Linked DNA regions of Mus musculus. The protein of the gene in region 6 purifies or fractionates together with the protein of the main gene of each other region. This does not show direct contact. Links are inferred from orthologs where the notes say so. Each region holds a gene or a part of one and is shown on either strand. Other genes may lie near its edges.

Region 1 (3,500 bases), on a different chromosome or scaffold from region 6:
TGTTGCTCCTTAGTGCTGGTGCTAAGGCCTAGTATACCATCATGCCTGATTCGATATTTTAACTTTTTTTGTTTTTGAGACAAGCTAAGTAGTCCTGGCTGTCCTGAAGCTCAATATGTAGACCTGACTGGCCTTGAACTCACAGAAATCCTCCTGCCTCTGCCTCCCGAGTGCTGGGATAAAAGGGTATATGCCACCATACCTGGCAGTGCTTCGATTCTTGTAGAAGAAAAAGCTGTGTTTCATATTTTAAAACAGACAGGCATTCTGTCCCTCCTGAAGGTGGCAGCTGTGAGTCTCCTGCTGTGACTGTTGTGCAGTGCTCATACTTCCTTGGATCAGATTGTGTCACTTTCTGCCCAGTGGTAACACACACATTCAGTTTCTGTGACACTCTCTGGTCCCAAACCTTTGGCCTCCACTTGTGCTTTCCCTGCCTGGCTCACCATGTAGGTGAATTCATGGTGTTTTGATGGGGAGGTAGGAATTTCTGGGCTGAAAGGATTTTTTTGTAACTTTGTTCTTTTAAGTGCTGACAAAATGTCCCATTGTCCTTTAAGAGGAGTAGGACTGGGCAGTGGGCCTGTTTGTCCAGACAGCTGTGGTTTCCTGCTTTGCTCCCTGGTTTAGTAAGAGCAGCAGGGAAGGGGAGCTGCCTCTGCCCACTGCATGCGGGCTTTGCTCTTCACTGGCACCAGCCTGTCTGTATTCTGTCTCTGCCGGCATTTCTCCATGGTTCGCGTCGTGCCTTCCATCTTACATTTCAATGGTGCTTTTATTTTCCAGTAGCCATACACCACTCTGAATCCATTCATTGTCTCACCGATATAAGGTGTCACTTTCCAGGAGGTGGAGCCCAAGGGCTGGCTGGCCAGCTAGTCTAGCAATCTCTGAACACATGGCCTAGTGAGAGATCCTGTCCCAAAAAGTACAGTGGAGAACAAGTGAGGGAGACTGCTGGCCCCCACCTCCCACATGCACACGCACACACATACACAAACAGTGTAAGTGGAGTCAGACGATAGGCAGCAAGTGCCGTACGCAGTTACATGTCTCTCTGGTAGGACGAAGCGCCAAGATGTGTTAGCTGTTAACTGTGCCTTCTCTTTCTCTCCCAGAGCCTGGTGATGCACCACATAACTCCCCGAGCATCCTAGCTATGCTGGAGACCTTGCAGAACGCCCCCTCCCTGGAAGCCCACAAGGACATGATCAGGTGGTTGCTAAAGGTAACATTTCCACATTGCTGTGTGTCTTGAGAGAAGCATTAGATATTGGCTATTTATAATAACATTTCTTAACATCAGCATAACAGTGTTTGGGGTTTGTTTATTTCAAGATGTTTAATGCAATTAAGAAGATAAGAGAGTGTTCATCCAGCAGCCCTGTGGCCGAGGCGGAGGGAACCATAATGGAGGAGGTAAGAGAGCGAGGTAGAGGCGGGCTTGCCAGCCTGTGCCATTCCCCGGCTCCTCAGACGCCAAGGGTGGATCTCTGGGAGTTTGAAGCTAGCCTGCTCTACATAACTTTTTCCAGGCCAATCAGGACTGTTACATACTGAAGCTATGTCTCAAAAAAAAAAAAAAAAAATGCAACTAAACTAATAATGGAAACAAAACTTTAACAGGTTAATATGAACAAATTTTCTCTGCAGTAAAGCAGTAGTTAATATTCACAAACATTAAATTCCAAAAGATAGATAGCTCTTAGTGCCTATAGTACAGATGCTATGCTTAGGGGCAAAGACTGGGTGTAGCCTCTGTGTGCAGAATCTAGCTAAATGGAGCATCATTCCAGAGCTCAAGAGACAAGGACAAAGCAGAGAGGAAAAGAAAAGCCGAGATCGCCAGACTGCGCCGGGAGAAGATCATGGCCCAGATGTCTGAGATGCAGCGGCACTTCATTGACGAAAACAAAGAGCTCTTCCAGCAGACCCTAGAGCTGGACACCTCTGCCTCTGCCACTCTTGACAGCAGGTAACTCGAACAACGGCTTTTAAGACTTCTGACCGTTGGTTCTCTGTATGCTTTTAATTGAGTAAAGGTGGTGGGTAATTTTGTGGCCTCCAGTTAGTGGAGTTCACTCCTAGGCCAGGGAAATAGCGCCGGACAGGCAGTGAACTCTGCATGCTGGCACATGCTTGTAATCTCAGTGCTGGGGAGGCAGGCGGCTGGGGCAGTGGCCAGGCAGCCTGGCCTCACACGCCAGCTACAGGCCAGCGGGAGGTCCTGTGACCCTGGGCTGAGCCATGGCCCCACACACATGTGCACACATACACAAAGAGATCTCTGCCTCTGAGTAATTCATGTGTTCGCTTAAAGTGTTATTTTCTACAACGTACCTTTGACATGAAAGAATGAGCACGCTGGGCTGGCGTGTGTTACAGGCAGGTTGCTGTGAGTGGAGGTGGCTTTAAGCACATAAGAGAACCCTGCCACATCCTGTCATCAAGACCACGTGTTGTGTGTACCTATCTGGAGTCTGTCATTTAACGATTATAGAGAAACTTCTTAGGCTCATTCAGTATTACAGTCATAACCTTTGTATTGCAGCCCTCCCGTTTCAGACGCAGCTCTTACAGCACTGGGCCCAGCACAGACACAGGTCCCTGAACCGAGACAGTTTGTCACCTGTATATTATGTCAAGAGGAGCAAGAGGTGACTGTGGGAAGCAGGGCGATGGTCTTGGCAGCGTTTGTTCAGAGGTCAACGGTTCTGTCAAAAGACAGGACGAAAACCATCGCGGACCCAGGTAAGGTCTGCTGCATTATCGGATCAGAACCCAGCTGCCCTGACAGCGTACAAGCAGCCTCCATGCCAGGCCTCATGACCCAAACCTGTGATCCCTGCCCAGAGGCCAGAGGATTGCTGAGAGTTCAAAGCCAGCCAGGGCTAGAGTGTGAGGCTGTGTCTTGGCATAGCCCTTAGCATTTCTGCTTTGAGATCAGGGCATGAGGCATGATGGGGAGTTAGATTCTGTCAGCAGCCAAAGCTTCATTCCGATAGATCATGGTCCTTTATACTCCAGAGTAGATGCTCAAGTCCCTGTACAAGTTGCTGTAGTGCTGGAGAGAGAGCTCCCGGGCAGAACACTCGATCACTGCGAGGGAGGGTCTGGGTTTCGTTGTAATACTGAGATAGGGGAGAACCCCGCTCCATGCATAGGATTTGCATGTGACCTTGGTTCATCTTCCTAGGTACTTGATTTCTAGGTCACAGTTCAATGCTGTTTAATGAGAGAATGACAAGGACGTAAGCCAGGCAGCCGTGTCAGCATCTGTGGAGGGTTCCCCTGGACGTTTTGGTCTACCTTCTGTGACCCCACAGATGCAGAGCTCCTGGATACGGAGGGCCTGTTACTTAGAGCACCTTCAGTCTCACATTGCAGTTCAGGGCTACTTGAGTTTCACTTTTTAAGGTCTGAGAGTCTTACATAAATTAGTGCCATCGAAAGTTGGAATAAATTAACATTTCTTTACCTAAGTCTTCACAAATCCAGGG
Region 2 (4,277 bases), on a different chromosome or scaffold from region 6:
TCTTCCAGGAGCACCAAGCTCTGCTGTGGTGCTACACTCAGTAGATGGTTGAGCCGGTCATCTGAGAGGCTAGAGTCTGTGAGGCTGAGCAGGCAGATGCTGTGTTCCAGTTCTCCAGCCAGGGCTGTTCTGTGGACAGTGACATGGAAGGAGGTCCTAGGCAACCTGAAGACTTCGGGAGTCCTAGGAGGTAGGCTGCAAAGGCCTGTTTCCTATACCACTCACTTGATATATATCTATGGATCTCATGTTTATCCTGATCCTTGCTTCCCAGATTCATTCCTCTTCTAATAATTTCAGCCCAGTTTTTCTGCAAAGGCTGTTACTCAAAGTCAAGAAAATTTGACTACTCACATAAAACTGCTCTTTCCACAACCAGGGGGCCCATAAAGAAGGTAGCCACGTCTGTAGGGAATGCCTAGGGATATAACCAGGATAAACAAGACCTACAGTGAATCATGTACTCTGGCCCAGGTGTCCACATCTACCCTCAGCTCCATTCCCTGCTAGTGGTCCTAGAGGCAGAAAAGATATTCTCATAGACGAGCTTTCTTTCCCTTTCACCTGAGCTAGAATTTCCTGTAACTTCACCTGGCTACAAACTCGGCTAGATTCCAGCTGCTGCTTACCTCTGTCAATGTACCACTTGGGGTTATCAATAAATTCCCGGATATCTTTGACAATTCGGTCAGCCAGACCCTGCTGTAGGACTACAGAATCCAGTGGCCGACGTCGGCGCGGATAACCAAAGGTACGCCATTCAGACCCCACAGCTGTGTACATCACAGTCTTCCCTTCCTCCTGCTGCAGGGCCAGTGCTCGAGCTGGGAGCAAGGAAGTAAAACAGTCCCTTGATCATGCTGATGCTTCAGTCAGGTAGAGCTCTGACCTGGTACCCTTCTCCCAAGGACTCGGATCCTTATTCCTCCTCTCCAAGCAGCAGATGCCCAACCTCCCCACTTTGATAGCCTGCCTGTCCCATCTCATACCTTCTTCCAGGATGTTGAAGAAAACCTTTCGGTCAGTGCCCAGGGCCGTGAAGGTGACAGATTCCCAAGGAGTCCCTGTTTGCAAGTCTACCATCTGCATGTCTCGGTTTCGTTCTACCCGGATCCATTTTCCCTGATACCTGAATAAAATTGTCAAAGTGACCCAATTTCCTCCATCGATCCACCCTCTCCTCAGAGCCCTACCTAGTTTCCTATCTTACCAAATGAAGTGGTTTCCAGGGCTGGGGATAAATTCAAACTTGGTGGAGATCCGGCCACTTTCATGCTGAAGGTATGAGGTTTCAACACTGAGGTGCTGAGTGCGGGTGCTGTGTCGGGTAAGCCAGCTAAGCAACCAGGCATAGCTTCTGTCTCTGGCAGGGACTTCCAGTGTGATCATGTAATGGCGCCGGAATGCCACTAGACCCAACTGGGCTCCTTTCCGGGCCATAGCCAGAGCCGTACCCACACCTACCAGCCCAAATCCAGCCCCAAAGTAGGGATTGTCTTTAAGGGCCAGAACAAAGTCTGAAAATGGCATCTTGAAAAGAAGCAGCACAGATGCTTATAGGCTCTGAGGCACTGTCAAAACCGAGGGATGGATTGTAGCAGAACTGGAAGAAAGCATAAGACTAGTATAGAAACTAGACCAGTCAATCTTGCTCCGCTCCCTCCCACAGAAGCAAGATGGACAGGTCAGCAGGACTGTGTTTCAGTGGAGTAGGAATGGTGTTGGAATGCCACAGCAAACACCCCAGGCTCTTCAATCCATTTTGCTCTTCAGTTAGACCTTTTGCCAGAAGGCCATTTTGGAGAGTTTCTCAATTCCAAAAAGCAATGTACCCAGCTCCACATCAGGATACTAGAAAGGCAAGACTCTGGTCCCTGGCAAGAGCTAGACAGAAGGGTCCCCACTGAATGGAATCGGCAAAGGTGATTTTTCCATTGCTCTGTCAATGACCACATGCCTTACCATCAGAAATGTCTTTCAAATATCCTCTCCCTTACACCCCGTTCCTAATGTCCTGTACAGACATTTATTACTTCTCACCTAAACTATTTCTTGCAAGTTATTTTGGTTCTTGAGGTGATATTTGAATGGACCTTCAGCACCTGCATCATCCAAACCCACCAATCCCAGACACGCTACAATTCTGTCACTTGTATTCCAGCACCCTTGGTGCCTTGCTCCCATTGGGTTCAAATACCACAGCCGGATACGCAGGGATGCCTACATTAGAATGCGTACCTTTACTAGCAAATCACTACCTACTTCTAGCTCTCTCAGTTCTGTTGGTACCGAATGACCCCCACCCCTTTATTCTAGGCATTCTTTTTCATTGAGATCATATAGTCTACTTCTTCCACGGAGCCTTTTTCTTTTTCTTTTTTTTTTTTTTTGGAGCCTTTTTCAAATTCAACCCAATTAAGATGTGACTAAGCCTAACTTAAGACAATGCCTAAGGGGACAAAATGGCAATTATTTCCAGAACACCTCTCCTTGCAACACTTCTCCACTGCCACTCCTCTGCCTGGCACACCGGCCCACTGGTGAATTGACAGCCGTGACCTCCGCTAAGGCTCGGAGCTGTGATCCAGAATTCCAAAGCACCTTTGCATGGAGAGCCGCTGACGAAGATCTCCTGGCCCCCGGCTCCCGAACCCTGACACACAGCAGCTGACTCCCGGACACCCTATACACAGACCTGCTCGCGCTTCCAGGAACGTGGGAGAGAGAAATCTGTCACTCCGCCCCCTTCCCTCCATGACTCTCTGGCCCTCACACTCGATGGTTTCGCCGGGCCTACGAAGAGGCAGCGCCGCTAGTCCCGCCCCGGACTGCTGCATCTACTTCCGGCCACACCCACCACGGAGTCCTTGCCACTCTTCCCTGCAATTCTCGATGGTTCCGCTTTGGGGCTTCAGAAGGGGGGTACTCAAGGACATAGAGGGGAAACCATAGAGTAGCACGGGCCTTGAAGAGAGACAGAGTGGCTGCCACACGTCAGATTCCTAGAGGCGCCTGGGCCGGGGGCGGCCACATCAAAGGCCCCCGAGGAGCCACTCCAGTCCCAGTCGGACCATAGAGATGCAGCTCCCGCCAGCCCACGGGTAGGAGGTGAGAGAGCGGCTGTCGGCGGGAACCAGGGGAAGTGCGGGCGCTGTGAGCTGAAGGTAAAAGTTTCTCTAGCTCCAGCTTGAGTGGGCCCTGGAGGTGGAGCCCGCGGGAGGAGGTGCTGCGGGGAGCGCGCCGGTGAGAGGGGCGCGGGCGCATCTCTGCTGGACTCGGGCGTCTCAGTCGCGTCACAGCTCCGGGCCCCGCCCGGGTATCCGCTGCCTCTCCTCAGGACCAGAACCGTGACGATGCATCATCCCAAGCCTTGCAGGTTCCAAAACGCCTTTCTCCTCCGCTGTATCTCGTGACTTGGCTGTCGCCCCACAGTGTAAAAGCTGTCGTCGCCGCCGCCTCCACTTTACAGACAGGAAAGCTGAGGTCCTGAGAAGCGAGGCAAGTGCATCGACTCAAGGCTACACGGTGAGTCAAAGCCCAGAGGCGCGTGGGAACTGAGGTGCCTACGCAGGGTTGCCTTGTTCCCCAGGCTTCGGTATCCCTTGCTTCTCCAGTCTCAAAAGCACGTTACTTCTTTCTGGCTCTCTCCTACCTCCTCCCCCGCATCTTCCTGAGGCCATGTGATGGGCTGGAAGACCGCCTAGAGCAGCAATAATTAGTAGTCCGTGGGGGCTGTGATTTCCAAAAAGCCTCGCTGACCACGGAAGTGCACTTCCCTGCCTCCTTCTTGAATTGCTGTCTGTTCCTGCTGTTATGCTTTTTAAAGACATATTTGTTTATTTTATGTATGTGAGTACACGGTTGCTTTCTTCAGACACAGGAGAAAGGGCATCGGATCCTATTAACAGATAGTTGCGAGCCACCATGTGGTTGCTGGGAATTGAACCCAGGACCTCTGGAAGAGCAGTCAGTGCTCTTCATCACTGCGCCATCCCTACAGCCCTCGTGCTGTTTTTACGTGGAGGGATTCTGTAGAATGAGAACTAGCCACTCTCACCTGGCACATACTCAGTGACCCAGTTTTGTTTGAAACAGGGCCTCACTGTTTAGCTCTGTCCTGGAACTCACTATGTAGACCAGGCTGGCCTCAAATTCACAGATACCTGCCTGCCTTTGCCTCCTGAGTCCTGGAAGTTTAAAAAGATTATCTCATTTATTTCAGTCGAGTTGAACAGGACATGCAGTTTAATACCTTTGTTTCTCAGTTGTGTTCCCAC
Region 3 (3,500 bases), on a different chromosome or scaffold from region 6:
ACCCTAGTATCAGCCCAGGGAATGAGCCAAAGAGTTGGGGTGGGAGTCTGACCAGAATTCATGGCCCAGGGTGTCTAGGCTCATGACTACCACAGAGGAGTTGCTCCCTGAGTCCTTGTACCTGCCCCATAGCTAATAAAGGTGCAGCTCTAATCTGACCTCCACCCTGTCCCATCGGCTCCCTAGCTTGGAGTGTGAGGGACCACAAGACTAGCAGCCCATGGATGTGGGGTGTGCTGTCCCCAGCACTGATAATGGTCCTGGCCACAGTTAGCTGTCCCTTAAAATCCATTATAATCTTTAGTACCATCAAAAAGGTGAACTTGAAAAGGGAGTAGGCCGCTTGCTTGCTTTTCCAATGACTAATTAAAAAAAAAACATTTAAAAAAAGGGTCTAACCACCTCTAGTATTCAACACTTGCAGTTTGAAAAGATCAACTCAGACTAAACGCTAGCACAGTCATGCAGGTCCACAGCTCTGCACCCAAAGCTCGGGGCACGGAATCGTGGGCAGCGGCTTCTTCCATCTGGGGGAAGTAGAGGCCACATCAGATGGCAGCTCCAGGGCCCTTGGTTTTGCTCTCTTCCACCTGGGTTCCTCCTGAATTGCCTTTCCGTGTCTCTTCCCTCAAATAATTGTACAGCACCCCATTGGGGCCAGGGCCACACACACATATATATATATACACATACATACATATATATATGTACAGGGTCCATTAAAAACGTACTGTTGCTCCTTGAGGGCAGAGGTGGACACAGTTGACCTCCAGTCCCTTGGGTCACTGCCCATGGTCAGCAGGGTGGCAGAAATGCCCCCCACATCCCCAGGGCAAAATACCACAGGATTTCTTGTTCCCTTAAAAGCAGTACCCAGATGTCCCACTGCAGAGGGGCCAGGACACCGTTGAGAGGCCAGACTGGAAGCCACCGGGAACATCAGGGGAGGGGAGGATAAAGGATGGTGGGACGGTGGCCTGTTATCCTCCAGAGCTCCGTGGTGGGCTGCGATAGGAGCAGGAGGCGGGGAATAAATAACGGGAACATGCACTCTGACTGGAGCCCCAGGACCAGGAGCTCCCAGAGGCACAGCCCTGAGGACAGAGAAGGGTTCGCCTAGCCATTGTCCACATGTCACTTGGAAGTGGGGTCTGCAGGCCCTCCATAGGAGGGGAGTGGGGCCTCTCTCCCCAGCAGAAGGATGTGGCACTCCAGCCTTGGCCGCGCAGAGCACGCGGTGAATCTGAGGGTGGTGGCAAGCACAGGGTGCTAGAGTAGAGGCTGGTGGGACAGCCCCAGGCTGTGACTTATGTGGCCTAGCCTTGGGTATCTCACCTCTCCCTCAGACTCTGCCTGCTGGTAGCAGCTGAAGAAGCCAAGAAATGTGAATTGGTCCAGCCCCTTGTCCTGCTGCCCTCCTTCTGGAGGGCCTGGCCTTCTATCTCGGCCCCTCAGAGGCCACCTCTCTCTCAGGAAAACCACTAGCAGCTCTTGCCAAGCAGCAAATATCCCTGGGCAGAACCAGCCACGCTGTGCTATCCTTGCCCCACGGCAGCAAGCCCCAGGCACAGAGGCGGCTCAGCAGGAACCCTTACATCCACAGCGATAAGAATTGGCCCTGCATGGCAGGGAGAGGAAGGCGAGGGCCAGGACCCAACCACAGCCCCCACACCTGGACTTGGTACAGGTGGGCCAAGGGCTGTCTCCTGGGTCCTCTGCTGCCCTCCTGCTCTGCCTCCTGCTGGGTGGGCACTTCCAGGGCTCAGCTGCTCAGGGCCATTGTGTCCACCACCTGCTCCAGTTTGCTTCGAAGCCGCTGCCTTCGAGCCTGTTCATCTTTCTCCAGAGCCACCAGAATCTGCAAGGGTGGGGTGAGGGGTGGGATAGGGTCAGAGTCAGGGTTAGCTACCCACAGATATGGGCTGGAAGCTCTAAGGGAAGCAGCTGGACCAAGACACATGACCTTGGTGTGTCTGACTCCCAGTTCCTAGCTGTGCCAACAGTTCTGATCCAGAGTACTACAGCACTTGAGGGTGAGCCCCCAAGCTCATTACCTCCACCCTCATCTCCCTCATCAACAGGCTGTGGCTCCTGGCTATGGCCTCTCCCACCTTGCCCTTCTCAGGCTTCTGGGAGTCTTCTACGGCAGTGTTCCACACCCTGCTTCTGATGTGGCATGGCCACTGTTCTCTACTGTGGCTGGGTTTCTTATGCTCTTCGGTTGTCTTCTCGAGTATCACACTCCTACCTCAGTCTATGTGGGAGCTCAGGCCCAGCCTCCCATCCTATCCCTTAATCACTACAACCTGTGAGCCCTTCCATGGCTGGTTTGAACCCGGAGCCCTTCTGAGCCCAAGGCTTCACGATCTTAGACCTGTCTCTGTGGCTTCCCACCTCCAGACAAGCTGCCTGGCTATCTACCTCACTGGCTCAGCACAGCCAAGCAGACCATGGTCTCCCTGCCTGTCTAGATCTATAAGAATCCATCAGGCTCTGGGACACAGCCAAGCTCCAAGCCTCCACACCTAGGTCACCCTGGTCTGTATATCTTCTGCCTCTTCCCAGGTGGGCCCTAGCTCAGCCATGTAGACTCTATGGATCTTGGCCTGCCAGGCCCTCTCATTGCCTTGGCCAGCACTGCCCACACATACCCAGTCCTTGGCTATTGGTACCCATAAGCTCCAGCCCAGAGTCAGAGACAAGTTATCCCAGAGAGAAGAGGTAGGGGAGCTGCTTCTTGGCAAAGGACAAGGAGCAACCTTTGCCAAGCCCAGAGATACCATCCAGCCCAATAAACTACTATAGGACCACAGCTATCCATTCCAGGAAACCACTGTCACCCTGTCTCCCCACCCTGCCCCAGAGAGCCTTCTTTGTGCCCAGAATCTCTGATTTTCTTACTAGCCCTAGGAAAATCTGGGCTGTCAGATACAGAAGCAAAGCAAGTATTGGGTGAGCTCTGAGACATAGGTGGAACTGGGGTCGGGGAAGGACGCACCTCGTCCTTGTACTTGGCGATGTAGGAGTAGATCTCGTGCAGGGCACTCATGCTGTTGAACTGGCTGAGATGCAGCCGGGACTGCTCTGCCAGGTAGGCGCTCATGTCTTGGTCACTGATTGCAGGCATCTTGGCAATGTCAGCATAGTACCTGACAGTAGGTAGCAGGGTCAGCATGGGTGGGGTCACAGGGCCTACTCACCCACCAACCTGTGGCCCCTGCATGGCCCCTGCTGGACACCTACCTTTCAACCCAGCTCTTGTAGTTGGGGATGTCCTTGGCATAGAGCAACTTGTTGGAGGGTGAGTCTTTGCCCAGCTTGTGCTCTGATGTAGAGCAGGAGTCCATGAAGGTCTGCGCTACCACTGAGAGGCAGGCATCTGTTATGCTGTTCTTGTGGATGTCGAACACGAACTGAGGGTTCTTAATCACATTCACCCAGAAGCGCAGAGGCAGGCTGTGGACAAGCAGGCCCAAGAGTGCTCAGGATGGCCATTCTGC
Region 4 (3,500 bases), on a different chromosome or scaffold from region 6:
TACTGAGGACTTGGGGGCCTGACAGGAGTGGAGATAGAGGAAGAACACCAGCCTGAGCCTTTACCGCCACTTGACAGAGAACCCTCAGACACTGCCACCAGGGCAGCCACGTGGGTCTCCACCCAGCAGAAACCCTGAGTTTCTGTTCTGTTCTCACAATTCTTCGGCCCCGTCAGGAGCCTCTGCCGACGTTCCTCTCTTTTGGTGTTCTGAATTAAGGCACAGCCTGAGAGATGAGGAAGGAGCAAGCTGCATCATTTCCTTCCTGGGGCCAGGCCAGGAGACACGTAAGAGTCCGGAAGGAACTCTCATTAGGAGTAGGAAACGCCACAGGGAACTCGCCTGTAACCCGACTGTGAAGAGCACGCAAACCTTCCAAAACCAAACCCTGCCGGCCGCCTTTGCGTTTCCTGACAGGCCACAAGCCCACCTCCACCAGAGCCAGCACAATGCATCTGCAGGCTCCAACCGCTCTCCGAGCGAGCTTGCGCCTTCCTTCCTCCCAGTCCACATCCCACACTTAACACTTGGCTCATAGCCCGCATCCTCCACAAAGCCTCCAAGGTAGACAGACTCGGCCCTGGGACATCTCACCCATCCTCAACACACAAAGCATTGCCCATTCGATCCAGTTTCACAGAGGTGCCGTTGCCACTTCTTGGAGGACAGAGCCACTGTTTGAAAGTCTTTTGCTTTAACTGGTAGTGAGACCACAGCAGGGCACATTATATAGGACTTTTAAATGAATGGAAAAGAGAGTAGAGTCAACACATTCTTGGGTCATGGGCATCTTCTCTGGAAATGCCCTGAGGACAAGCTCCTTGCAGTCTGAGGTCCCTCCTCCAAAAATGAAAATCAAATGTGGCTACTTCCGGGTGGTGGAAAGAACAACACTTGAAAATCTAAGCAGCACCTCTCTCGTGATTTCCAGGAGTTGGGGGCGGAGCCGGGACAGGACCACTTCCATTTAAACAGGAGGTGAGCGCAGTGTGGTCCCTGAGTCAGCGTGAACTGCAGCATCCACCATCTTTAAAAGTCCTGCCTCGTCGCTGGAGTACACGGTGGTGTCTGTGTCATCTGAGTGATACCCAGACTGGTAGCCACTGGTCTGGTTGGAGCCTTCCGAGGCCACAGACTCCCTGCTTTTACTGGGCATCATTCCACTGTAGAAGAAACAGCAAGCGAATGAATTAAAAAGGGAAGCCGGCTCATTTGCTTTACACAGTCACCAAAGCCCGAGCTCAAGGAAGTAGAATCCCCTCCAGAGACACTAGCCCCTCTCTCTCATTCCCTAATCAGCCTCAGACAAGGTCTACTCTCAGGTACTGGCATGAGCTAGTAGTCGCAGATAAGTCCTCTTATTCGGGTCCAAGTCTTTCAAGCTTGAGACGAGATAAAAGGCCGTTCTGCTGAGGTATGCAGAGCCCCCAACCAATGGAAGAGTTTTACAGCCTTGACGATTGACAAGTTTGTCTACAGTGATAGAAGTCACAGGGTCTCTTTCATGATATTAAACGATATCGGGATGGTCTAAAAGTTCATTTGTGTTTTTCCTGTTCGGTCACCTAGGGAGCTAAGTGGTCTATAAAAGATGTTAATAAATTTGTAGAGGGGGAGAAAAAAAAAAAAAGCTAGTGTACAGTCAGGCCAGACATGTCAAAAACTGTTTTTTACTCATCCAAACCAAATTCTTTGGACAAATTGGGGGTTCAGTCACTCAGCAGCAACTGGAGAATGTTTCCAATGACATAGTAGTCATGTCAAAGCTAACAAACGTGGGCTGTGTGGACCGAAAAGCTCGGGCTTTGCCCTCGAAGGGGTCTTATTCTTATTATTCATGATAAAAGCCACAGAGAGAGTTTGTTTACTCTGTGTTCAAATACGGTTTCATGTAAGTTCAAAGAACCACAAGTATGTTTCCCCTCCCAGCCCCGCTCTTCACTTCCCACACCAAACCAGTTTGTGTCTCAAACAGAGGCATGATCCTGGCCACCTAATAGCTCTGAGTCACTATTGTTTGAGTCAATGAAAGAAGCATGTGGTTGGTGCCCATGCCTTCTTGCTGGGCCTTAAAGAAAACGGCCAAGTTTACTGTGGCTACTGTTGTTGTATAGACATCACTCAAAAGTCCATAGGGAACCCCACCTCGTACAGCAGCTCTCTGGTGTGTAGATCAAATCTTGGGTTTTCCCTACCTAGAATGAGCCTGCCAGCAAACAAATAACTACTCTTATCCCACTCTTCTTAGAAACATAAAGATTTTTTTAATATTTAAATCAGGTACATTTATTCAAAGCCTATATATACCTGTTGAGTCATAAGGAAGAATGACTCGAATAAATTTAATAGTTTTCCCCCAACTGAAAAGGCAGTGACTCAAAGAATCATATTTAAATATATGAAATAAGTGAATATGTATGTATTTATATATCATCTTTCTTAATTACAGATAAAGCCATCTAAGTACAGGTTTGACAGTCCATCAGAGTCTGCAAAGTCTTCACTCTTCAGGATCATGGTACCTGCTGACATCTTTGCAGTTTGGCCAGGGCCATAGAAGCCACAGGTCACTCTGCTGGCCCGTATCAGTCCCATAGCCTTCACAAATGTAGTCATTAGAAATTGGCCAAATACTCTAACTTGCTTCAGGGTTTTCTTCAGACTCACCAATTTCATGGCTTAGTTTATTTTACCTCTTTATCAAATTGCTAATTTGGAATATTAATGTCATCAACCTCCAAAGGCACCAGAAAAGAAACCACATCTACACTGAATGTCTTTATTATGCCCTTCCAAAAATACGTATTGAAATATTCTTCCTTAGTAGGCTGAGTCTTACCCAAAAGATGGAGATAATTTGTTCCTGTCTTCCAGAGTTTTCAGCTCTTCTGATGCAAGGACCATCCCACTGTCTGTCTGGCTGTCCTTTTTAGGAGACAGTGAAATGACACAGTGAGTGTGCACGTGACCAGCTACTTTAAACTCCTTTCTCAATCCATCTAGCTGACAATAGGACTCAATGTCATGCCAAAGAGGGAAAGGGTATGGCAGCCAGCGACTGTGCAAGCCACAAAGGAAGCAAATGCTTCGAGGAAGTAGACTTGGGCTAAGGAGAGAGGAAAGGTCAGGATGTTGGGGTCTCCTCTCTGCACGGCGACAACATTTGCACTTGAGTGAAGTTGGACACACAGTTAAGACTATCCCAAACCTTGGTCCAGGTGCCTTTCATACGGCAAAACTAAAGATCGACCTCCCCCAGGGCACATATGCTCAAGGACAGCCTTAATAAGGTTCCAAAACTCAAGAGCTTAGGCTAATATTTATCTAGCTAGTATTTCACCCCAAGTATTATCTTTATGACTATTTTTAAAAGATGTACTTACATCTGGGATCACTTTTACTTCTGGTTCCTCCAATGGGATATCTTCAAATGTTTTTACACTCACTGGCCGGCTCTTTCGCTTACTGTTCTGGAGATAATGACTGCAAGAGAACAAATA
Region 5 (3,500 bases), about 33 Mb from region 6:
AAATTATACAGCCATATCCTACGTTGGCAGAAATTTTTATAATTAATGCAACTTGAAGTTAAAATTTTACATTGATATACAATTTATAGAATAATACAGATTTAAATTTCTTATATTGATACAAGATTTAAAATTATTATTGTTACTCTTTGATAGGCATTGTGCCTGTACAACTCTTCTAAGAATACAAGGCTTGGACCCAGTCCTTCTAATAACTCCCGTTAAAAAGTGTTTAGGGGTTGGAGAGACAGCTCAGCGGGTAAGAACACTGACTGCTCCTCCAAAGGTCCTGAGCTCAAATCCCAGCAACCACATGGTGCCTTACAACCATCCGTAACGAGATCTGACGGCCTCTTCTGGTGTGTCTGAAGACAACTACAGTGTATTTAGGTATTAAAATAAGTAAATAAATCTTTTTTTAACTTTAAAAGAGTAAAAACAGTGTTTAGGATGATTAAGTAATACAAGTCAAGGGCTAGATTATATTATATTCTGATTTAATTATAATAAAGTGTTTTTAATTTACTCAAATAGAAATGACTAAGAATAGTTAAGGTATAACAGTTCAGATATACTTTAAATAGATAGACAGTCTTCTTTTTTAAAAAAAGATTTATTTATTATATGTAAGCACACTGTAGCTGTCTTAAAGACACTCAAGAAGGAGTCAGCTTTTGTTATGGATGGTTGTGAGCTACCATGTGGTTGCTGGGATTAGAACTCAGGACCTTCGGAAGTGCAGTCAGTGCTCTTAACCACTGAGCCATCTCTCCAGCCCCCGACAGATAGTCTTCTGTGGACAGAAGTCCACAGAATACAACATTTAAGGCCATTTCATTATTAAAGATCATTTGACTAGAATCTAGTCTGCTCCTGACTACACCCCTTTCTTGGTTCAAAGAAAAAAATTAAATATCAATAGAATTGCTCCAGTCGTGGAGAGATTACCACTAGGCAAAAATTGCCTCAATTCATCTACAAAAATACTGTCCAGGAAAAGGTCATACTATGTGAAATAGTTGACCGGTAGCTCTGCCAAGCAAGACAGGGTAAGCAGTCCTTCACAATTCTGCTTTACAAAAGTCTGTCAGATGATCCTGGGCCAGAAGGCTCATTATATATTCGGATTTAATTATAATAAAGTGTTTTTAATTTACTCAAGTAGAAATGACTAAGAATAGTTAAGGTATAAATGTTGGAGACTGAAGCTCTAACATTTTGAGGAATTAGGGACTGTCCAGGTAGTCAGCTGTCTCTACAAAATGTTTAAATTTTGGAAGCTATCTCTTGTGCTTCCTATATTTTCAGGTAATATTTAAGTCATTTTTGGATTTCTGATGGAGTTGAAGACTAGTTATAGTTTCATAGCACTCAAACTGTTTAACATTAAGAGAGATGATACAGATTTGAGAGGATGATTTTCAGATGGTAATACAAGCTAAAACCAGAATATAATTCAGATATAAAATTGTAAGCTTTTAAAGTTAGGATAGATGGTAGAGTGTTTTATCTAAATTGACAATATGACAGACTGGGTTTTAAATATATCTTATACTTTCTAAATTGCATAATAGTTGTACTCAATTTATACGAGGGGGAAAAAAAAAAGGGAGAGCCCTTTAATTGTACAAAAAGGGGGAAACATTGTGGCTTGCCCTGGTGCTATTTGTATTCTGATGTTAACTCTGCTTCCTCAAGAGGGGCTGCCCGAATAAGGAGTGGATCATGTGCTCAGGTGATCTCATGTGAACCTTCTCCTCATTCTAACTGGTCAGATAAAGGCTAGAGCCTGTGATTGGGCAGTGGAAGGGAAAGGTGGGGCTGGAGGTTTTAGAGAGGAGGAAGAGAAGAAAGAGGAAAGAAAGACAGAGGAAGAGGAGGTGGAAGATGGAATAGTACCACGTGGCCTGGAGAAGCCGCAAGTAACAAGGGATCTCATAGATGGGCGACAGAGTAGTGTAGCGGTAAATGTGCCCAATCTAGCTGTGCAGCTTGTGAATGCTGTAACTGAGTTGTGTGGTTTTTGCTCGGACATATTGGGGCTGGAGATTTACTGCAACAAAGAGATACCTTATTTCTTAGACCCATCTTGAAGGTTCAGCATAGACAGCAAATGTCTGCATGCTTTGGGATTTTGTACCACAGACACAATTCTGAACAACTCATCAGCTTACATGGTAGCCCATATATAGTGAGTGACATTCATGGCTCAAATGTTATATCTCTAGCATTTATAACATAATCTGCTCACCTGGTCATAGTTGTCCTGCCCGTGGAAGAATGGCTCCTTTCGGAATATCATGCTCGCTAACATGCAGCCCAAGCTCCACATGTCCAAGCTATAATCATACATCTGAAGGCAGTAAGGACGGTCGATCAGTCAAAGATGGCTAGAAACTCTTTGTACTGATGGAGTTTCTAGTACTCATCTGACTCCTGAAGATTGGCCCGTATTTCTAAGGCACTAGGGTCTTATACTTATCAGGCAAGTTCCATTCTTAGCCTTTCTGAAGTTATAACTAAAAGTCATTCTTTCCTTAAAAAAAAAAAAAGGGCAGCAAGAGGCTCAGCTGGTAGACTAAGTATCCAAGGCTGCCAACCCCAACAACCTAATCCTTATGCCAAGAACCAACATGGTGGAGAGAACAAACCCCTCTAACCCTCACACGTGGGCTGTGGTACAAGTAAGCTTATACATACATAATGAAAAAAAATTTAATGTAGTTGAGAAAAAGCTTTATAGAGTAGAATAATAACTGGGTTTTGTATGAATCCATCGACTACATAGCAAACCAGGAAAATCCCTAAGAAAATATAAAATTAATGCAGAGCAGAGCAGCTTCACTGACACGCTCACCTGATAGTCCACAAGGAGCTCTGGTCCCTTGAAGTACCTCGAGGCCACTCGAACATTGTACTCCTGAGCAGGATGATAGAACTCTGCCAGACCCCAATCAATCAGTCGGAGCTATAAGAAAGACAAGAGGAAACAGACCATGAAAGATGCCCTTGGACATGCCCATGCCTGTGGTGAGGCCACAGCACGTATCTATAACAGGTACTTGATCACATAGAGTAGGAGTGTACCCATGGAAGACTACACTTCAAGAACTGCAGATGAGGTCATTTCTGGAGCACTTGGAATGTTTCCGAGTTTTTCCCTTTAAGTTACCCTGGTCTTTTACTCTCTCCAGATCATCAGAACTCAACCTTGTTTCTGCCTCCATGCTACTTACATATGGAACACACTCCCCCATCACTCACGGCTGTTAACATGAGCTCCAGGCAACACTGAAGGACATGTATGGCTCCCTCCAGGCAGAAGCACTGCACACTGCTCTAACTGGTTATTAAGCTAACACTGGCTGTGACAGCCAGAGTTGGAGGGCCCCAAGTGTATCTCTTAGGGCTAGTTGGACTGGAATGATCATGAAGAAGTGACGTAGAAACCACTGTTGTAGTTTCTTCCTAAAGCCCTGTCAACTCTAGAACTAAAATAA
Region 6 (3,500 bases):
GGAGGAGACATAAAAGCACTATCTACACATAGAGTTTATCAGTTAGCATTGCTCCCAAGCTTCTACTGCATGATGTCCTGGGCTCAGCATGCGCCAGCTCTCAGAACCATTGCTGTATACACATTCCCCTCCTCCTTTTTTTTTTTTTTTTTGCAAGTGTATATGAGGTGATGTCACACAAGAAGTTGGAAAATGTCCACAGGTGGAACGATTGAGACATGAAAATGAGCAAAATCCCAATCCAGGACCTGATCTGCTTCCTCCTCAGCATGGCTGATGAATGTTTGTTACCACACCACCTCTGATGACTAGGACTACTCAGAGGACTTCATTCTGTCACACAGTTACCTGGTCATACTTTCCTGGTCAGAAATCGGTAAATGTGAGCTTATTGAAATCTAAGAATACTTTATTTTGAAGGGAAGCATGTGTTGCCAGAGTTTCTTGAAAATATCTCCTATAGCAGATTGTCAAGATGTAAAAAGATATACAACAACACAGTTTCAAAGTTATTTACACTATTAGCACTATAATAATCACTACAAAGAATATTAATAAGTCTGGTGTGGCTCAGTGATGGAGCCCTTACCTAGCATGCATGAAGCCCTAGATTTGACCCCCAGAACTTCCAAACAACAACATATTTGAAACAATGCCCTGTTTTCTAGAAGGCACTGGAACACTATTAATTCTACAATCTAGCGGTTGGGGATTTAGCCCAAGGTAGAGCCCTGGGTTCAGTCCTCTGCTTCCAAAGGGGGGGAGGGGAGACAAAATAAAAGTCAACCCAATGCTGGGACTTGAATAAACTGGAATCAGAATGCAGGCCTGTATGTCAATCATTCACAGATGCATCCTCTGTCTATAGGTTTCTGTTAATTCACTAGACAATGAATAAAGCTGAATAAAGTAGAAATCTTGATAGCCTGACTATGGAAATCTGGTTGTCACCACACTACAAAATCAACAGATTTCTGAATCCTTTGTGCATGTGGGAATGTTTTCATATCACTCTGTTCTCTACAAAAGAATAAAAGTATGAAACAGAGCAGCTTTCACCATTCAAAATGTCTCCAACACGGCTAAGTTCAAAGTAAGAATTGGCCCATGTCTTCATCAAGATTACTATTCAAGCTCAAACTGGAGACCTAACTCCCTTAAAGTACTTCAGAGTGAAATCATATGGGATCATGTGGGCAAGACACTAAGAGGTTGTCCTGGATGTGGAGAGCATTGAGCTATGAAGTCCACCTCATACAATGCAAAAGCAGAAATACCACATCTACAACCAGGATTTCCATTTAAAGTGTATGGGCATCATTTAGATGGTCTCTACAGTAAAATGTTACTGGGATAATGAAACTTTTCATAGACCAATATTTAGTAACTTCAAGTTGAAAGAGACAGACAGGTAAGGCAGATTGACTCTAACCCGATACACACCTAAATTCTCATTGCATTTATGCATTTTAAAAAGTCATATTCATAAACATGTCCACAATTAACCTAATATTTGAAACTCTTGCTTAAGCTCAGCACACTAGCAAATGTCTGCACTTGGGAGGCAGAGACAGGTGGATCTCTAAGATCAAAGCCACCCAGAACAACAAAATGAGTTCCAGGACATCTGGGGCTACATAGTGAGACCCTGTTGCAAACAAATTATCAAACAATCAACCAACCAAACAAAATAGCGATAATAACAAACCCTTTAATTCACTTGCTTTTTTCATGTCAAACTCGATACAATCTTTCAGATCAGAGTGCTGGAGTAGCTCCTGCCACAGAGCTATAGTCCCCAGCCATGAGAAATCTTCTAAAAATCATTAAATGCGCCACAGATTTGTTTAAAAAACACCCGACTCCACCATCTGCAGATCATGTATACTGGTGACCCACAATACTTAAGAAAACACAAGCCTTTTCTCAAAACCCTTTCCAGAAAGAACCACACACCACACATTTCTTAACAAAAGATTTCCCAAACCAAACGTGTCAACAGAAGGAGGACAAACATTTAAACACAGCCTGACATATTGGGTGAACTCAGCCACTTGTAACTTCATTTCCACACCACTCACAATTGAGCTCATCCGGACCCGCTCATTTACTTTCTCAGCACGGATACTCATGACCACTAGATGGTGCTATGGCGCCCTGTTCAAACTCCCTCACTTACTTGCAGTCTCTGTCCTCCAAATCGAAATGTGGGTTGAAGTTGATCATGATTCTCTGGTAGGGTTCCGGAGCTTGGATTAGCCATTCACACTTCTCACTTGGATGGTAAGAATGAGGGTAACCGGGAGATGTGAGGTACCCTGGGTTTTCGATTTTTATGGTCCCGCCACATTTGTCTGCAACAAAAATGACATGTTAGCAGATCTCTTCCCTGCAACCAGTTGAGTCTTCTAGCTTTACATGTGTATTGACAATTAGCAAACATTCTGTCAGTTAAGAGAACTCCAAAGTGTCCCCCATAAACCCTCCGTGTGACCCTAGACACAAAGTACACCACACCACTAAGGAACACTCTTTAATCTGCAGGAGCACCACATCCACAGAAAGCCTACTGTGATCTGAGATGCTTTTCCCTCACACCCAAACTTCCTTCCAAAGAAAGAGGTCTTCTAGCATTAAAAACATTAAACCCCCTCAATTGATGTTAACACAGCCCCCTGGGAGCTCCTGCTAGACTTAATTATCTTCCAAGAAGTGTAATCACATTAAGGAACCGCTCTAAGTGGAAGGTGCCTAAAAGATGCTGTGCCACTCCTTGCAAGTGGCTTTTTGATGATAAGCCTGGTCAGTGTCATTGACCAGTGGGGACTGTCTTCCAGGACTTTGATTGGCCTGAAGCCTAACCTCCTTTTGTTGTTGTTTTATCTGCCTGTAAATCTAAGTGATTTTGAGTTATCTCTGCTTTTGAGACTCAAATCAGCAGAGAACAAAGTGCAGCTGGTGATGCAGAAAGAACTCGGCTTTACTTATCCAAGTTGTTCAGCCTTGGAGACCAGATCAAAGCAATGGGGCAGAAAGAAAAATAAATAGCCACACAGCATTAATTCTAATTACTAAATGTTAGGGGAAGCCTCGGCCACTGAGGTCTGGGTATCACAGATGGTGAGCTATGTCTTCACATCCCAGGAAAGAAAAGCTCTCCAGTTTTCAACCTTTACTGAAAAACAAACCACCACCACTACAAAACCTCAAATGCTGGAGTGACTCTCTAATAGCTAAATAAACCAGACTCTGGGCTGGTTTACAATTCAGCATAGATCGCTACTGTCACTCTCTATTATGGGTTTCGCACAGGAGAGCCACAGCCTGCAAATGCCACCCCATTTATTGATGCTTAATTTTAGGCAATAAAAATTTGGTGCATAAACTATGTAGGAAGTACAGGTATGAAATATTGAAATGTATAAGCCTATCAATCACAAACATCCAGTAATGGTATATATAGATTTTAATATTACATCTAATAGATTCCCTGTGGAAAG
Region 7 (4,045 bases), on a different chromosome or scaffold from region 6:
CATCTCTCCTGAACAGAATTACAAATTCATGTGGACACAGCTCTCTAAGTCTAGACTCCCCGGTTCCCTGGATAGCTACACACATTACTCCTTCTCTAGAATTCTTATCTCTCTTAGAGGCTGGCCTTGTACTTCTCGTGGGACACAGCTTCTTTTTCTCAAGGCTTCCTTTTTAAGGAATCCTTGATTTTAACAAGACCTCTTTTGTCACTCATCCCGCCTGGGAAAGGATTCAGGCTGAAATGCTAGCTTAGCTTTTCCTCAAATGGAGTCTCGGCTAAGGACAAACTGTAAAGTATGATGCTGACAATATGTTAGTTACAAATAAACCACCTGTATCCACAGCCGTGTTTCAGAATCTCAGGACGTAAAGTGAAGGTGCGTTCTGATCGGGCGTTTTAGCAACAACAAGGCAGAGGGAAAAGAAGTTTTGGATACATGTTTATACAAGTCTTCCAGGTTGAGGGAATGGGCCTTCCAGACAGAAGAAAGGCAGAGATGGGAGAGATGTATGAGGAGACTGTAGGCTGGGAACTAACCCAGCCTGCTTCTTATCAGAAAAGGAAACAGAAAGCGAACAGGATAGAACATGTAAGATTAGGAACTGACAAAAAGCAGATTCTGGAACCCACCACATTGGCCCCGCCCAAGAGAAGAAGGCATTGCAGAGGGCTGTGGCCTTCAGTTCCCTCTCAATGTCTAGGAGGCTGAGGCTCTGGAAAAGCAACTGAATACACTAAGCAGAAAGACGGCAGGAAAACGGCCACTGCCTCCTTTCAACCTAACTAGTTTTGCTTCCATTTTGGTTTCTGTCATTGATTTTCTATGGAAAAATTCTGTGTAAATTTTAAATAGTTTAGAAAGGAATTTTCCAGAATTATTCAATTTATAATTTGGAGTTCTGGTATCCTTAAAACCAATCCAAAAAGAAGAACAGGAGAATATCTCCATGATGAAAAATTAAAATGACTTTTTGGAATGTTTTATGTTGTTAACTCTAATTCTCCTTCAGATAGTATGTGTACAAAAACAGCTCTATCTATGTGACATTGCATGGATTTTTAAATTTCATTTGCAGGTTGTAAAAAAAAAAAAAAAAAAAAAAACCAAAACAAAACCCTAGATGATAGGCTTTGTGATACTGTTGCCAAACGATTGATCACAAAAGTTTGCTTTCTGCATTATCGAGTTGGGCTGTACCAGTTCTGAGCTCCTGATAAGAAGTTCCCAGGTGCTGATATAGTAGGATCTCAGGTGTGTTTTTTTCCATGAGTGTGAGGACTTAAGAGTATACAGGTAAAGTATGTAGCAAAATTACAACGACACAAGCAACATGCAGAAGCAGGCAGGAAAATGAAATTTCATAGTACAATAGAGGAAGCAGGCATGTGATAGGGTATCTATTCTCTAGAATGTATATTTAATTTTTTGTTTCATCCCCTTTCCTTGTTCTAGTAACAATATCAGTAAGACTAGAGTTCCTGGCGCTGTCCATGTCATTGTATTGCTAAGGTCCAGAGATGGTTAAGGGAAGGATTTCACATATGCCATTACAACCATTTGCACATTTACTTTTGGAAAGGGAGTTTTAGTTGCTGGCTGTGTTTTCCAGTTGAGCAAGAGTAAGAGGAAATCAAGACCTTCTCTATTGAGACATGCATGGTACAGTTTGGTAAGAACACCGCCCGCAAGGGCACCAGCAAGATCTCCTAGCTACCAATTTATTTGCTTCAGTCACTGGCTCCTATATTGTCACATAGATGAATAATTACTGTCTACACGGTGATCAAGCCCACATTAGCATTATTTTTGTTTCTTAAGTAATGGGTTTTATTAATGTATTTAGTTATTAATGTACTTAGTGATATTAGAGGACAAGTTACAGGTATTATTAACTGATGATTCCAGAAGTCTAGGCTTACTTATGTGATTTCTAAAGGTCTTTGTATCTGGGGGATTTTTGAGTAGCTAATTACTGTACTGCCTGTAAAAAAAAAAAAAAAAAAATCGTCCCACGTAGAACTCCATCTTTACATTCAACTGCTAGTCTAGTCTTACAGATATCTGATGTTATAATTTCCCTTAGTCTTCTCAATGATATCCAATTCTGAGAACTTTAAAAGTACCCAGTTTCCTTATTATGTCTGTTACTAAAGCTTCCTTCCCTTTGGTGCTCACAGCAGGCAATTTTCTTTTTTTTTTTTTCCTTTCCACTTCTAAAATGAAGTTCAGCTCTGCTCGGTGGTGCTGTGAAACTTGCTCTGGGAGAGTCCCGGTGTCACCTAGGCACCGACCCGTGCTTCCCGATCCTCTGTGCGGGCCGTCCGCCCACCCCGTCCAGGGCGCGTGCAGTGCTCGGAATTCGAGCGCACGGCGCGCCCACGTAGCGCAAGTTGCCGGGTGGTTTTGAGGTGAGGCTCCGGAGGGCATTTCCACCGAGCCCGGCCCCGCCCGTCAACCGCTCGCCGCGTGCCCAGCCGCCACCCCGCGGCCCGCGCGCCCGCGCTCACCTGCTCGCCCTCGTCCTGCGGCCGCCGGCGCCGCGGGCTCGCCCCGTGCTCCGGCTCCTCAACCCGCCCGGCCGGCGCCGCCCCGTCCTCGTCGCACTCCCCGCCGGCGCTGCCGGCGCCGCCCCGCAGCAGCTTCCTGGCCGAGCACATCCCACCGCCGACTCCGGCCGCCCGCACGGCTGCCGCTGGCCACACCGGGACTCCCGACGCACACGGGAATCCTTAGAAGCGCGCCCGCCGGCCTGGGGGCCAGAAGTGCAGGAGCCGCCCGCCCCTCCTGTCAGCCGCTCGCCCCACCCCCAGCTCGGGGGCGGAACCCCGGGGGCGGGGGCGGGAGGAGGGGCGGGGCCATAGCGGACCGCGGCCCAATGAAGGCGGGACCTGGTGGGTTGGGCAGGGTACTGGGAGGGGCGGGGCCAGGGAGGGGCGGAACCAAGGGAGGTGTAGCATTATTCCAGTTAGTGCATGAAACTATGAATGAGGCCATAGGCTCCTGAGGGAGGTTGTATGTGTCTGACACCTATTAAAGTATATGACATCTGTGAAATTGTGTATCTGTAACTATCTGTACACAACAGACAGATATCCTGTGGTGTGTGTGTGTGTGTGTGTGTGTGTGTGTGTGTATGTGTAAAAGACAGAGAGAGAGGAAGAGAGAGAGTGTCAGAGGTGAGGAACACTGTAACAGACTACATGAGGGAGATTATGTATGAAATCGGCCATAGGTGCATGAGGGAGATTGTATCTGACAGGTTTTTAATGCATGTGAGAGCCCATGTGTGATTGTGTGTGAGTAACTATACACACACACACATACACACACTTAGATGTTGTGTTTAGTGTGTGTGTGTGTGTGTGTGTGTGAGAGAGAGAGAGAGAGAGAGAGAGAAGGAGGAGGAGGAGGAGGAAGTTATGTGTTGTGAGAAAGTGTGTGTAAGAAACATTGTAACAGACTGTAACCAAGTGCTTACAGGAGATTATATGAAAAAGACCATTAGATGCATGAGACCCTGTCTGATAGAGTATTATAAAAGCCTGTGTCTAATTGTGTGCCTGTACACAACAGATTGTGGAAGACTGTATACCAGAGTCTTTTGTGACAGGACAGTGTGGGAGATCATAGGTGTTGAAAGTTTGTGTGAGGATGTAGGTATACAGAAGAGGGCAACTGAGAATAAGAAGCTCATATGAGAGGGAGCTGTGTGCATGAAGGTGTGGGCACATGTAAGAGGTTCTGGGAGTGTGAAAGACCACCCAAACACACAGTATCCCTCCATACCAGCTGCAGCGGGCGCTCAGCTGTGCCTGGGTGTGCTGTTGGCTGCTTGTGCCTAGGAAGGAATGCAGGCTCTCTGTCGCTTGTTCCTCCCCTTTTGCCTCCTCTCCCTAAGCATCTCTGAGTGACCATGCCTATTTCTCTCTGCTTCCTAGTGTGTGTGGCTTGTGGGAGCCCTGGGCTCATTTCCTGGTCTCTCTGCCGTAGTGTGCATTTCTAGAAATGGTTTAAAAATTCTCAGCGACTGGTAAGAGAGAGA

Evidence for each region.
Region 1: the proteins of Nrp1 (region 6) and Ubr2 purify together in Homo sapiens (affinity purification with mass spectrometry; 3 studies listed by BioGRID and IntAct, counting the BioPlex papers as one, with this or other methods). This does not show direct contact. The link is inferred for Mus musculus from reciprocal best matches to the Homo sapiens genes NRP1 and UBR2.
Region 2: the proteins of Nrp1 (region 6) and Bcs1l purify together in Homo sapiens (affinity purification with mass spectrometry; 3 studies listed by BioGRID and IntAct, counting the BioPlex papers as one, with this or other methods). This does not show direct contact. The link is inferred for Mus musculus from reciprocal best matches to the Homo sapiens genes NRP1 and BCS1L.
Region 3: the proteins of Nrp1 (region 6) and Plxna1 purify together in Homo sapiens (affinity purification with western blotting; 4 studies listed by BioGRID). This does not show direct contact. The link is inferred for Mus musculus from reciprocal best matches to the Homo sapiens genes NRP1 and PLXNA1.
Region 4: the proteins of Nrp1 (region 6) and Kdr purify together in Homo sapiens (affinity purification with western blotting; 7 studies listed by BioGRID and IntAct, with this or other methods). This does not show direct contact. The link is inferred for Mus musculus from reciprocal best matches to the Homo sapiens genes NRP1 and KDR.
Region 5: the proteins of Nrp1 (region 6) and Csnk2a2 purify together in Homo sapiens (affinity purification with mass spectrometry; 5 studies listed by BioGRID and IntAct, counting the BioPlex papers as one, with this or other methods). This does not show direct contact. The link is inferred for Mus musculus from reciprocal best matches to the Homo sapiens genes NRP1 and CSNK2A2.
Region 7: the proteins of Nrp1 (region 6) and Fam241a purify together in Homo sapiens (affinity purification with mass spectrometry; 3 studies listed by BioGRID and IntAct, with this or other methods). This does not show direct contact. The link is inferred for Mus musculus from reciprocal best matches to the Homo sapiens genes NRP1 and FAM241A.

Annotation. Positions count from the first base shown.
Region 1 is NC_000083.6:46,955,033-46,958,532, reverse strand, and holds part of Ubr2 (E3 ubiquitin-protein ligase UBR2), read left to right. Parts: intron 1-1,118; coding exon 1,119-1,228; intron 1,229-1,338; coding exon 1,339-1,419; intron 1,420-1,796; coding exon 1,797-1,975; intron 1,976-2,551; coding exon 2,552-2,751; intron 2,752-3,500. UniProt on the Homo sapiens protein: E3 ubiquitin-protein ligase which is a component of the N-end rule pathway.
Region 2 is NC_000067.6:74,586,812-74,591,088, reverse strand, and holds the start of Bcs1l (mitochondrial chaperone BCS1), read right to left. Parts: upstream 2,801-4,277; 5' UTR 2,696-2,800; exon of another isoform or gene 2,602-2,695; intron 1,604-2,601; 5' UTR 1,531-1,603; coding exon 1,211-1,530; intron 1,130-1,210; coding exon 990-1,129; intron 825-989; coding exon 630-824; intron 419-629; coding exon 355-418; intron 130-354; coding exon 1-129. UniProt on the Homo sapiens protein: Chaperone necessary for the incorporation of Rieske iron-sulfur protein UQCRFS1 into the mitochondrial respiratory chain complex III.
Region 3 is NC_000072.6:89,317,614-89,321,113, forward strand, and holds part of Plxna1 (plexin-A1 precursor), read right to left. Parts: intron 3,457-3,500; coding exon 3,244-3,456; intron 3,150-3,243; coding exon 2,999-3,149; intron 1,859-2,998; coding exon 1,763-1,858; 3' UTR 1-1,762. UniProt on the Homo sapiens protein: Coreceptor for SEMA3A, SEMA3C, SEMA3F and SEMA6D. Necessary for signaling by class 3 semaphorins and subsequent remodeling of the cytoskeleton. Plays a role in axon guidance, invasive growth and cell migration.
Region 4 is NC_000071.6:75,933,456-75,936,955, forward strand, and holds part of Kdr (vascular endothelial growth factor receptor 2 isoform 1 precursor), read right to left. Parts: intron 3,484-3,500; coding exon 3,384-3,483; intron 2,926-3,383; coding exon 2,840-2,925; intron 1,164-2,839; coding exon 968-1,163; 3' UTR 1-967. UniProt on the Homo sapiens protein: Tyrosine-protein kinase that acts as a cell-surface receptor for VEGFA, VEGFC and VEGFD. Plays an essential role in the regulation of angiogenesis, vascular development, vascular permeability, and embryonic hematopoiesis.
Region 5 is NC_000074.6:95,457,821-95,461,320, forward strand, and holds part of Csnk2a2 (casein kinase II subunit alpha'), read right to left. Parts: intron 2,969-3,500; coding exon 2,858-2,968; intron 2,354-2,857; coding exon 2,252-2,353; intron 1-2,251.
Region 6 is NC_000074.6:128,362,073-128,365,572, reverse strand, and holds part of Nrp1 (neuropilin-1 isoform 1 precursor), read right to left. Parts: intron 2,355-3,500; coding exon 2,180-2,354; intron 1-2,179. UniProt on the Homo sapiens protein: Cell-surface receptor involved in the development of the cardiovascular system, in angiogenesis, in the formation of certain neuronal circuits and in organogenesis outside the nervous system. Mediates the chemorepulsant activity of semaphorins.
Region 7 is NC_000069.6:127,893,524-127,897,568, forward strand, and holds the start of Fam241a (uncharacterized protein FAM241A), read right to left. Parts: upstream 2,801-4,045; 5' UTR 2,661-2,800; coding exon 2,511-2,660; intron 1-2,510.